Coturnix japonica: one gene and its partners. The protein of the gene in region 2 interacts with the protein of the main gene of each other region in a biochemical or structural test. Links are inferred from orthologs where the notes say so. Each region holds a gene or a part of one and is shown on either strand. Other genes may lie near its edges.

The links. The genes of interacting proteins can lie anywhere in the genome.
Region 1: the proteins of FZD7 (region 2) and SDCBP interact in a biophysical measurement, tested with the Homo sapiens proteins (2 studies listed by IntAct, with this or other methods). The link is inferred for Coturnix japonica from reciprocal best matches to the Homo sapiens genes FZD7 and SDCBP.
Region 3: the proteins of FZD7 (region 2) and DVL1 form a complex in vitro, tested with the Homo sapiens proteins (2 studies listed by BioGRID and IntAct, with this or other methods). The link is inferred for Coturnix japonica from reciprocal best matches to the Homo sapiens genes FZD7 and DVL1.

Annotation. Positions count from the first base shown.
Region 1 is NC_029517.1:101,329,405-101,332,904, reverse strand, and holds part of SDCBP (syntenin-1), read right to left. Parts: intron 2,235-3,500; 5' UTR 2,220-2,234; coding exon 2,169-2,219; intron 974-2,168; coding exon 885-973; intron 1-884. UniProt on the Homo sapiens protein: Multifunctional adapter protein involved in diverse array of functions including trafficking of transmembrane proteins, neuro and immunomodulation, exosome biogenesis, and tumorigenesis.
Region 2 is NC_029522.1:10,161,049-10,165,206, reverse strand, and holds the start of FZD7 (frizzled-7), read right to left. Parts: upstream 2,801-4,158; 5' UTR 2,227-2,800; coding exon 523-2,226; 3' UTR 1-522. UniProt on the Homo sapiens protein: Receptor for Wnt proteins.
Region 3 is NC_029536.1:1,959,042-1,962,541, forward strand, and holds part of DVL1 (segment polarity protein dishevelled homolog DVL-1), read left to right. Parts: intron 1-905; coding exon of another isoform or gene 906-916; exon of another isoform or gene 917-952; intron 953-2,357; coding exon 2,358-2,773; 3' UTR 2,774-3,500. UniProt on the Homo sapiens protein: Participates in Wnt signaling by binding to the cytoplasmic C-terminus of frizzled family members and transducing the Wnt signal to down-stream effectors. Plays a role both in canonical and non-canonical Wnt signaling.

The DNA of each region.
Region 1 (3,500 bases), on a different chromosome or scaffold from region 2:
AATACATCATTTGATAAGCAATATGAAAGGCACAGAAGTTGCAGTGGAATACAAACGCCAAGCATCAGAAAGGATGCTACTAAAAAGGGATTAATAATGCAAATTTCCATCTGATCTGATGATGCCAGCTCAGGTAAGATCTTCAGTTCCTTCTGGTCCAATTCACCTTCCCGGATCTAAGGTGGGTCTCTGATGAGCTAAATAAATTCCAGCCTTAAAATTGCTTAGATCACACCAGCTCCAAGTGTGAAACTGGAGACAAAGGTGCACCCACCAAGCCTTAGTACCTGCTCTATCAGCATTCTTGACTGCTCTTCCAGCACTGTAGCTGGTCATGCTAGTTACAGATTTTCAGGCATATCTGTGCATCTTTGTGGGTGCACATCAGCATGGGGATAAAAAGGTGAAATGAGACTGACATCTTCAGGCCCATTGTGTTTTCCAACATATGTTTTTACCCCAAAAGCTGCAGAAAGCACAATATTGTTGAAGTTCCATGTTTCTGGGCACTTCTCTATTAACAGATTTGTGTCTGCTTGTTTCCAAGCAAGTTCATATGCTCCAGAGGAAAGATGCAGTGGAATAGGTTCCCCAGGGAGGTGGTTGAGTCACCATCCCTGGATGTGTTTAAGAGCCATTTGGATGCAGTGCTCAGAGATATGATTTAGCAGAGGGTTGTTAGGGTACTATGGTTAGGCTGAGGTTGGATTTGATGATCCTTGAGGTCTTTTCCAACCTGAATAATTCCATGATTCCATGATGCTCAGATTCATGCTGCAGTCTGAAGTTTACAAACATGTGACAAGTAAGTATATGCAAGTGGCTGAGGTGAAAATCAAGGAGAGATCAAAGGGTCCCAACAACATGAGCATACTATGCAGCACATGACCTTACCTCCATCATGAGGAACAGGACCAGAAGCTTCAGACAAGATTGCTGGATTAGCTGGGTTTGAAGAGAAGGCAGTCTGAGCCTAAAGGGATGGAAACTCACACATGTTACTATAGGTCTTTCTTGTATAAGAGATCTTTGTTACATAGCCAGTAGACCAAGTATTCTTCTTAATGTGCTAATTACCACTACTCTTCAAGCACTGAAGTCAATCATTTTCTTTGAAGTATTTAACACAATACGCGGCAGTGTTATCATACCGCTTCAACAAGAAGTCATACCTTCCTCAGAGACAGAGCTATGCTAATAACACAGGAAGGCTTCACCATCAGCATCAGTTCCAGTTTTGTCATTAAGCAAATAGAAGAGACTTTTAAAGTAAGCCAATTCCCTTTCTTCTCACGGTATCAGAGCTGCTTCTTTCTTAGCCTTTAGCATCCACAAACAGTTGAAAACATTACCTTACAGAGTCCTACTATTATGCAGGACAGAAACAGCCACCTTAACATTGCTACTGATGTTAAAAGTAAAAGGTGTGGTTAAGTTTCAGAACAGCGAAACACAGTGCCAAACAGGACGCATAAATCACCAAATTCAACACGCTGACCGAATTACTGAGTGTTTTTTAAGGAAATAATGCTTAAAAATAGAAGATTTCATAGTCCTGTTCTCTCCAGGAAGTTACGTTTAAGAAGTTTCAGAGCAAAAGTGACTCATTATTTAGTCTCCAACTCAAACTCTGTACAGTAAGAACAGGGTTTTGTTTTGTTTTTTACAATTCCCTCCCCCGCCACACACTCCAGTTTTCCTTTTAATCATACTGAATTGCTGAGGACACAGTGCATCCTTCAGTACTAGCAGAGAAATACCCTATTTCCATTACCACATTGGTTGCAAAAGTTAAACAGTGAAGAGTTTTTAGTTATAGTGTTTAAACACTGGCAGCTGGTCATTAAAAGGCTGAGGGAGCATATAATATAATCAGCTGCAGGCAGGGTTGGGTTTTGTTTTTAAATCAAAGTTTACTGTCACCTGACTGTATCTTCACCTCAGGATAATGCAGGGCACATGGAGCTGAACAAAGAAATCCCAACACTGCCTACAGTTCCAAAGGTCCTTCCCCACACAGAGAAATGCAGGTGAGACTGACGCACTTTACCTTTTCCTTTTCAGAGACTGTAAAATACATAATATAGTAGCAGTTCTCCCCTCCCCGTCTTAAACAGAAACAGGATCATTACTGTTACCAAAACCAACTTTATGAAAGCCTGCCATACCTGAATAACTTTGTCCACCTTCAGATCTTCTAGGGAAGGATAGAGAGACATGTTGATGCAGCCTCACTGGGTTGGAAAAAGAAAAAGGAAGGGTTAGCCATCCAGTACTTGCCTAGCATTACAGCTTAAAACAGAAACGAAAGAGAAAGCAGACAAAGCACTAAATAAGCAAGTCGCGACCTGTAAACTTTAGCACTACAGATACAAAGCACTGAAGACAAATTTCATTAAGACTAACAGTTTCATCTGTTATCACTATTAGCCTATGTATAATAGGCTTTGCTTACTCGGTGCTGTTAAATGTTGCAGCCATGAGAAAGCCTGCACAGAGAACAGCTTCACAGGAAGTATTGCAACAATGATGAGGATTAAGATGGAAACCTAATTATATTCCATCTCCCAAGTAGGACAGTAATTCACATGCAACTGAGGAAAACAGTCCAGAAGTTTTCACACTATCTAAAGGCTTTTATCATTTCTAACACTCCTATCAAGAAGTCACTCACAGAATGACCCGGGTTGGAAGGGACCTCAAGGATCATGTAGTTCCAACCCCCCTGCCTGGCAGGGCCACCAAACATACACCTTTACTAGATCAGGTTGCCCAGGGTCCCGTCCAACCTGGTCTTGAACACCTCCAAGGACGGGGCATCCACAACCTCCCTGGGCAGCCTGTTCCAGGGCCTAACCACTCTCCTAGTGAAGAACTTCCCCCTAACATCCAACCTAAATCTTCCCTCTTTTAACTTAAAACCATTTCCCCTAGTCCTGCTATTGTCAGCCCTTTCAAAGAGTTTACTCCCCTCCTGGGTGTAAGTTCCCTTCAGGTATTGAAAGGCTGCAATGAGGTCAAGTCACTCGAGAGAACTGGCTTCCTGCGTCCATTTGTACCATATTAAAGAGAAGCAACAGACCACGAACCACCCAGACCTAGTCAGCAGTGGGTTTTGAAATCCACAGACTTCAGCCTGCCTCCCTCATGTGATGAGGAGAGAGCCCTGTGACAGCATAACAGGAAGCACTGAAATAAAAACACTTCGCGTGATCTTGGAAGGCACGTAGCCCTGTGTGATCTGAGCCACAGAGGCTTTAGAAAATTCCACTTTTGAGAAATCCTTTGCTCAGATTCTCACCGAGGTCAACAGAATGTTGCAGAAGAGTAGTTAAGGCAGTTCACCACAGGAAAGGATAGAAACAGAACGTAAGAACATGATAAAGCTTTGAAAATTAAAACGTGGCACAGAAAACATGAACGCAGTTAACAGAGGCACTATGAAATGCTTCTGGTTGGGAGATTAATTCTCCCATCCAAAGATAAGTTAGAGGTCCTGA
Region 2 (4,158 bases):
GGCCGAATTTCCACTCCCTTCGAAATGCCAACACAGGGTATCATTGAGGTAAAACAGGAAAGCGATGGAGCGGAGGCAGCTGAGCACAGCGCTGCCCGCGGGCTACTCACGTGCTCGCCCCGAGCTGCACGAGGTGGGAGCCCGGGGGCTGCCCGACCCCAGCGGCCGGGAGCCGGGCTGCTCGTGGGCAAGGGCGGCGCTGAGCCTTCTCCCCACCCGGGATGGCCTCAGCCGTGTTGGTTTCCTTCCCGCACAGGGAAAAGCGAGGGGGCTGTCTGGCAGGCGAAGGGTTCTCCCGCCCCGGCAGAGGCCTCTTTCTGTGCTTTTCCTCTCAGCCGAGCGTAAGCACCATTGGACGCAGTGCACGTAGTCCTTAATGCAATGATCATTTTTAACCCCACTGTGAGAAAGCTGAAGTTTTGAAAAGCTTTCCCCCTTTCTCTGTCTTCAGGGAGCCGCTGTTGCTTCCCTTCTGCTGAGTACCCTCTCTTCTGCGTGTGTGTGCCAGGGCGGGTGGAGGTCTCATACTGCCGTCTCGCCCTTGCTGCCGGTGCTCAGTCTGTGGTAGAAGCGCCGCCAGGACTGTAGGGTTTTACCAGACCAGATCCAGAAGCCCGTCGTGATGCCAACGATCATAGTCATGAGGTACTTGATCATGAAGACTGTGAAGTCCGGGCTCATGGGGGCAAAGTGGCTAGGGCAGGGCACAGCGTAGGTTTTGCATGTCTGGAGGAGCCACGTCTTCTCCCAGGTGCTACGGAAGGCCTGCTCATAGAAGTAGCATGCAAGGACAATGGTGGCAGGGACCGTGTAGAGGACACTGAAGACCCCGATGCGCACCATCAGCTTCTCCAGCTTCTCTGTTTTGGTGCCATCGTGTTTCATGATGGTGCGTATGCGAAACAAGGACACAAAGCCGGCCAGCAGGAAGGAGGTGCCAATGAAGAGGTACACGAAGAGCGGTGCTAGCACAAAGCCCCGCAGCGAGTCCACGCTGTAGATGCCCACATAGCACACCCCACTGAGCACATCTCCGTCCACCTGCCCCATAGCTAGGATGGTGATGGTTTTGACAGCGGGCACAGCCCAGGCAGCCAGGTGGAAGTACTGGGAGTTGGCCTCGATGGCCTCGTGGCCCCATTTCATGCCAGCTGCCAGAAACCAGGTGAGGGACAGTATGACCCACCAGATGGAGCTGGCCATACCGAAGAAGTAGAGGATCATGAAGAGGATGGTGCAGCCTTCTTTCTTGGTGCCTTGGGCCACGGTACGGTAGCCGTCCTCAGAGAAGCGTTCCAGGCACACCACCCGCTCCTCCAGCAGGAAACCCGCTGCGTAAGCCACCGCCACCATGAAGTAGCAGCCTGAGAGGAAGATGATGGGTCGCTCTGGGTAGCTGAAGCGGCGCATGTCCACCAGGTAGGTAAGCACTGTAAAGAGGGTGGACGCGCAGCAGAGCACGGACCACACACCTACCCAGAGCCGGGCAAAACGTACCTCCGCCTCCTTGAAGTACATGAGCCCGTTGGGCCGGCCCGGCTCACAGGGGGCTCCACAGTCCCGCTCCCCCAGGAAACGGTAGCCCAAGTAGGGGGGCACTTTGAGCTGCCGAGGGCAAGAGAAGGAGAACCCGGCGGCGGGCTGCGGTGGGGTGAGGAGGTCGGGCAGGTAGCCGGCTGTGGGCTGCGCCGTGGCTCCCCGACCCCCCGCGCCGCCGGGCCCTGACGGAGCATCCGACGTGTTCTGCCCCACGCAGATCTCGCCCGCACCGTGCACAGGAAAGTTCTCGCAGCGGAGCCGCTCCGGCCACTGGAAGCCAAACTTGTTCATGAGCGCCTCGCAACCCTGGCGAGCCCGCTCACATAGGGAGCGGCAGGGTGGGATGGCCTGCTCTAATACGGTGCAAACCGGTGCGTACATGGAGCAGAGGAAGAACTTGAGCTCGGCCGAGCACTGCACCTTGACCAGTGGGTAGAACTGGTGCACCTCCAGGCCCGCGTCCTCCTGGTTGGTGTGGCCCAGCAGGTTGGGCAGGATGGTCTGGTTGTAGGCGATATCCGTGCAGAGCGGGATGGAGATGGGCTGGCAGAAGCCGTGGTCCGGCACGGAGATGGCCTTATCGTCCTGATGCGCCGCCGCGCACGGTGTGCCCAGCAGGGCGGCCAGCAGGGCGGCCAGGCCCAGCCAGCGGAGCCCGGCGCCCGCTTCTCCCGCCTCGGGCCGCATCGCCGGGTCCCGGGGAGCCGCGGGGCGCGAGTCAGAGCCGGGCGGCGCCGAGCCCCAGGGGCATGGGAGCACGGTGGGCGGCGGTGGGGCCCGTTCCGCGGAGCGGGGCTGCGGTTTAGCGGCGTTCCTCCTCGGCCGCGGCGGGTCGGTGCTCCCGGCGTTAAGTTTCCGGAGTCGGTGGCTTTGGAGAAGGCTGCGGACGGGCGGAAAGGCCGGCGACGGCTCTCGGTAGTTCCGCGCACGGTCCCGCGGCGAGGCGCTGCTCCCTGCCTGGCTGCCGACTCCCGACGACGAGGATTTAGGTTACGGCTAAACGGATTATTACCGCGCCCGGCTGAGTCGCGTCTTTTACTCGCGGGCTTAAAGAACTTTTAAAATCCAATTATTGCTCGATCCTCCCGCAGCTCCGCTCCCGACGGGCTCCGCCGCCGCTTGTCCCCAGGATCACTCCGCCCGCAGCCGAGCAGGACCGCGCACCCAGCGCACACCCCGCAACTCGCAGCCCGCGGCCGAACCGGGCACAAAAAAGACACATATACGCGCGGGCGCGCCGCCGGCACCGCCCCCACCGCCGGCCCCATTCACAAACCGCGCCGGGGGCGGGGTCTCACGGCCGGAACACGCCAATGCCGTGCGGCCCCGGGGGCGGAGCGGCGGAGCACGAGAAGTTGAGCTCAACTTTTTCCCATCCCGGCCGGGCAGGGCGGGCCGCAAGGCGGGGGGGGGCTGCCCTGGGGCCCCACACCCCGCTGCAAGGCACGGCCGGGCGGGGGGCAGCGAGAGCGCTCAGGGTGGCCCGAGCAAACCGAAATTAACTGCCTGCTTTCTGAGCGGGCTTTGGAAATGCGAACGGCTGCTCGAGCCCCGAATTATTAATAAATATAAAATAAAAAGCTCCGCCCGCGTACATTTGCAGAATGAGCTGATGGCGTTGTGCTGTGTCCGTGTCTGCACGCCATCGCCTCCCCCAGCGGGGGGCTGACTTGTTATCGCACCATGACCGTTGCGTTTTGCTGGCAGAATGAGCGATTTATTCACGCGGATGTAAGCTTTCAGCAGGGAAGGCAGCTTGTTTTGAAACGTCCACTGCGAACAGCGCTGAGGGGAAAAACGTTAAATCGCCGTGCGTGCGGCTGCGGCCCCTTAAAGAGGCCCAAACGGTGTGTAACAAAGCGGCAGCTCCTCGGTGGAAGCGCCCGGCCCGTCTGCGAGAGACAAAACGCCGCAGGTCAGGGGAGGGACGGTGCTGGACGGCGGGTGATTCAGGGCGGGCCCGAGGCCAGGCCGGGGTGCGTTCGCTGAGGACAGAAGCGTGGCTTTGCTGCATTGCTGTGTTCCAGGGCTTGCGGGCTGCTGGAACCAACGTGCTGCTGGGGCTCGGAGTGTCGGAGCGGCACGGAGGGCGTGCGCTCGACAAAAGCCCTACGGCAGCGACCGCGTTTTCCTTCACACTCTGGCCTAGGGGCCAAGTACTATCCAACCCACCCATCCCTCCCTTTGAGGACGGGAACTATACTATTCAAATTGCTGCTTCTGCTCTTGTACTCTTGGCTGTGCTCATATTGTGCCTAAGCAAATACGCCAATCTGTGCAGCCTCCGGGGCAGTTCAAGAGATCAGAGTGTGGCTCAGGGAGCTCAAACAGCAATTGTTGGACAAATGTTTCCCATATCCTCTCCTGTTTGTGAACAATGTGTCCTCATACCAACGAGACCGTGGAGCTTCAGCTTTTGTTACATTTGTTAAGAGAAATTGACAGTTATAAATGGGCTTACTAAAATAAATGCACTCCTCTAAAAGTGGACATGTTTTTAAAACTTCTTCTGCTCCCTGAGCTGTGTGCAAGGCAGGATGAGCTATCTGCACCCTTGCTTCTAGACAAGAAGCCTTTTCTTCATTCTCAAAGCTGTTGGAGGGCCCTAAGAGGAACTTC
Region 3 (3,500 bases), on a different chromosome or scaffold from region 2:
GTATGTGATGGAGTGGGTTAGCCTTTCAGCTCTGTATTGATACTGCCAGCAGTGTTTGATCCGAGTCAGTGCCACGTACTGTTTGTGGTTGTGCTGTAGTTCTGTTCCAAACACAGAACGTCAATGGGGAACTAGAGCCAAACTGTTTATGACATGGGCATCTGGACTTTGCCTTACCAAACAGCACCACACAGTCAACTACTGCTTGAATAACATTAATCAGGCCAACATTAACATCTCAGTTGTCCCCCCTGTTAAAACAGATTAAAAAGTATTGACCCTTTTCAGAGGTCAGAGCCATTACCAACAATGTGGGCTGCAGTCGCTTGATATATTGCTGGAAATGAGGCCATTGGGTTGCTGGTGGAACAGGGATTAGGACCAAGTGATCGATGCAATCACTCTTTTTGCTTGGGTGAGACAAGTGTGAGGTGACCAGCAGGGAGGTTACAGGGCTGAAACACTGCTCACAGGGAGGAGAGTCTGTCTGGTGATATGAGATAGGGGGAAAAAAAAGGGTAGTGCTGCATGGATTAAAAACCTGACCTCCTCCTTTTCTGCTGTAGGATCGTTTTGCCATTCATGTTGAAATCTTAGTAAGTAAAAAATTACATTTTACGGCTGTACCAACAGGGTCCCACTGCTTTCTGTTGGGATGCTTTATAAATCACTTCCAAATTGGGTTTTGCTTTCTTGGCGGCTGGTTAGATCTCTGCTGCTGGAACAGGAAAGGTGTGGTATTTCATCCATGCACCTGTGCTAGTGGCTAAGAGAGCCCTGTGGAAGGCACCAAGAGTGTTGAAATTAAGAGTTCTCAACTCTTTCCTTGTTCTTCATTTGGAAACTACACTGCTGTGTCGTTTCTTACTTTATAACTGTTATTCCCTTGTTTTGTTCTGAGCAAGCATTAGACTGAAGGATTCATAGAGGAATGGCTGACTCTAGGGGATTGGTAAGCTTCAAATGCCTCCATGATAATAATGACTTCACAGCATGACCATTTAGACTCCTGTGACCCAAATGTTTAGCTGTGTTTTTCCTTTTATTTTTGTCTCAACGCACGATAGTCCAACAGTGTGACATGAGCATACCAAGCTGTTTGCCCTCCCCCCCCTTGTGATTGTGCTGCAGCAGCCATGAGAGAAGGGCATCATCAGGTAGCTTGCAGCCAGCTCAAATGGGAAAGCCCTACCACTAGTCTTTTCACCACCCTTCATAGAAACAAAGAAATCCCAGCTTTTAATTAAGCCTGGTGTTTGTCCATTGGGACTTTACATATCTACCAGTGCCCTACAGGAGCTGATTGGCTGAAAGATATTTGGTCACTCTATGTGGATGAAATGGGGTTTCTTGTGTTCTCTGCTTATATGTCTTGTTAGTTCGTAGCTGGTAATGTCACTTTGCACCAAGAGACAAAAGGAGATGTCATTCAGAGTGCCAAGCTGGTCCTTATTGTACTGGTTTAGATCCTTCCTGGCAGTAAGACAGTCTTGCACTAGGAGCTTTGGCTTAAGTCACAATACTCTCTAAATTGCAGGAACTTAATGAAGTACCGTGTGGGTTTCTTGTTAGTTTCTTATGGGCTTTTTTTAAGGCTGATTGATTTAGAATTGTCTCCTGACATCTATCCTATCTCTGATGGTAATAGAGCACACCTTCAACTTTCCTTCTGAATCAGTTCCAAAGCTTAGCAAAGCTTATACGTAGCAACAGCTCAGCTTATGTACCAGCAGCAGCCCTTTGTTTTCCTGAGCTGATTTAGTGGCCTCTGCTGGGAACTTCCTTCATGTTACTGATTGAGCAGCTCAATAAATAACTCCAACAATGAAACAGTATAGCAATGAATTTTACAAGAGCCTACCTACTGAATGCAACAGAAGGACTTCAGTTAACCTCAGGAGGTTCAGCCTTGAGCAGCAGTCTGCCCGGGCAGTACAGAAGTCAAATCAGTTTCCTTTTGAGTAAGGTTGTAAGTCAGGATTCAGCCGAACCTCATTTGCTTGTGGGTTAAAACCCAAATGCCTGCTTCTTCCTTTGGTTTCAGCTGCTCCCCTCTCTGGGCAGCGAGGAGGTGGTGGAGCTGAAGGCCTCCAGCCTTGCTTGTGAGCGAGCTGCTGCTTTCACTGTGTGAGCTCTGTAGGTGTCTCCGTGTTCCTGTGCATGGCACAGCCTCGTCTGCTTCATTCTGCCATCTGTCACTGCTAAATCCCATAAGCCACCGATAGCACGCTCAGGCCTTATCATTATTATTGCCATCACACCAGAGGTGGATTGGTGGCTTTGGTAGGAGCTGATGATGGAAATGAGCTAATTCTGCTTTTCCACTTGTCCTTTTATTCCGCTTTGCTGGCCTTTAGGAAGCAAAAGCAGCGGCTCGAACCGAAGCAACAGCGAGAACAGCAGGAGGGCTCTTGGCAGAGAGAAGGACCGCAAGTCGGCGGGCAGTGGCAGCGAGTCCGAGCACACTGCATGCAGCGGTGGCACCGGCACAGCGCGGAGGGAGAGGCCTGTCAGCCAGCTCAGCCACCGCAGCCACGTCTCTGCCACACACAGCGAGAGGAGCCACCACAGCCATCATTCTTATGGGCCTCCAGGTGTCCCACCCCTGTACAACCTCCCCAAGCTGGGCTCGAAAGTCTACGGGACGAGCGGACCCCCTGGAGGGCCCCCGGTGAGAGAACTGAGCTCTGTTCCTCCGGAGCTGACGGGGAGCCGGCAATCCTTCCAGAAGGCCATGGGCAACCCTTGTGAATTCTTTGTCGACATCATGTGAGAGAGGAAGTGCCTTCAGACTCTGCTTTGGGGAGGGCCGGGGTGGATCGTTTTGGGGCTGGGTGGGAAATGTTGTCATTGTCAGACACTTAAGGGAAGAAACTTGTCTGTTTTGCATGTCACGCCTTCCCAGTTTGCAATGATGTGTTGCAGAAAAACCAACAAAACAAAGCAAAACCCCCACAAAACAACCACAAAAACACACCCACCGATGCCTGGGATTGTTCAATATCAGCAAGTCGATGGCGTTCTTCTCTTTATCCTCCCGTTTTTCTTTCTTCCCCCCCCTCTTGTTTTTTGATTGTGGTCGGCTGGTGTATATTCACATCTTATTGAGCTTTGGTAATCGTGGCACCTACTTTCAGTGCAATTAGTGTATCTTTCGGGCTGATTCGAGGACTTCTTATTTCACGTGACTTCTGAATTTCCAGTAATGCATAACGGCACTTTTATTTTCTTGTGCTTTTTCCTCCTGCAAGAAAAAGCAGACGATTGTTGGCTGGTATCTGTGATACTGCCTCGTAATGCTGGTGTTTGGATGCATCAGTCGGCACTAAGCAGCTGCAGCACCTGCAAGTACAGACAACGCATGGAATGGAGCAGGCACAGACCAGTTCCCAGCAGAAAGCCAAGTTGTGACTGCCTTCTACTGCCTAGGGAGTGTAAATCCATCGTCCTTTTACTTCAGATGTTGGTTATTCTGTGGAGGAAATGGTGGAATCTTGCTG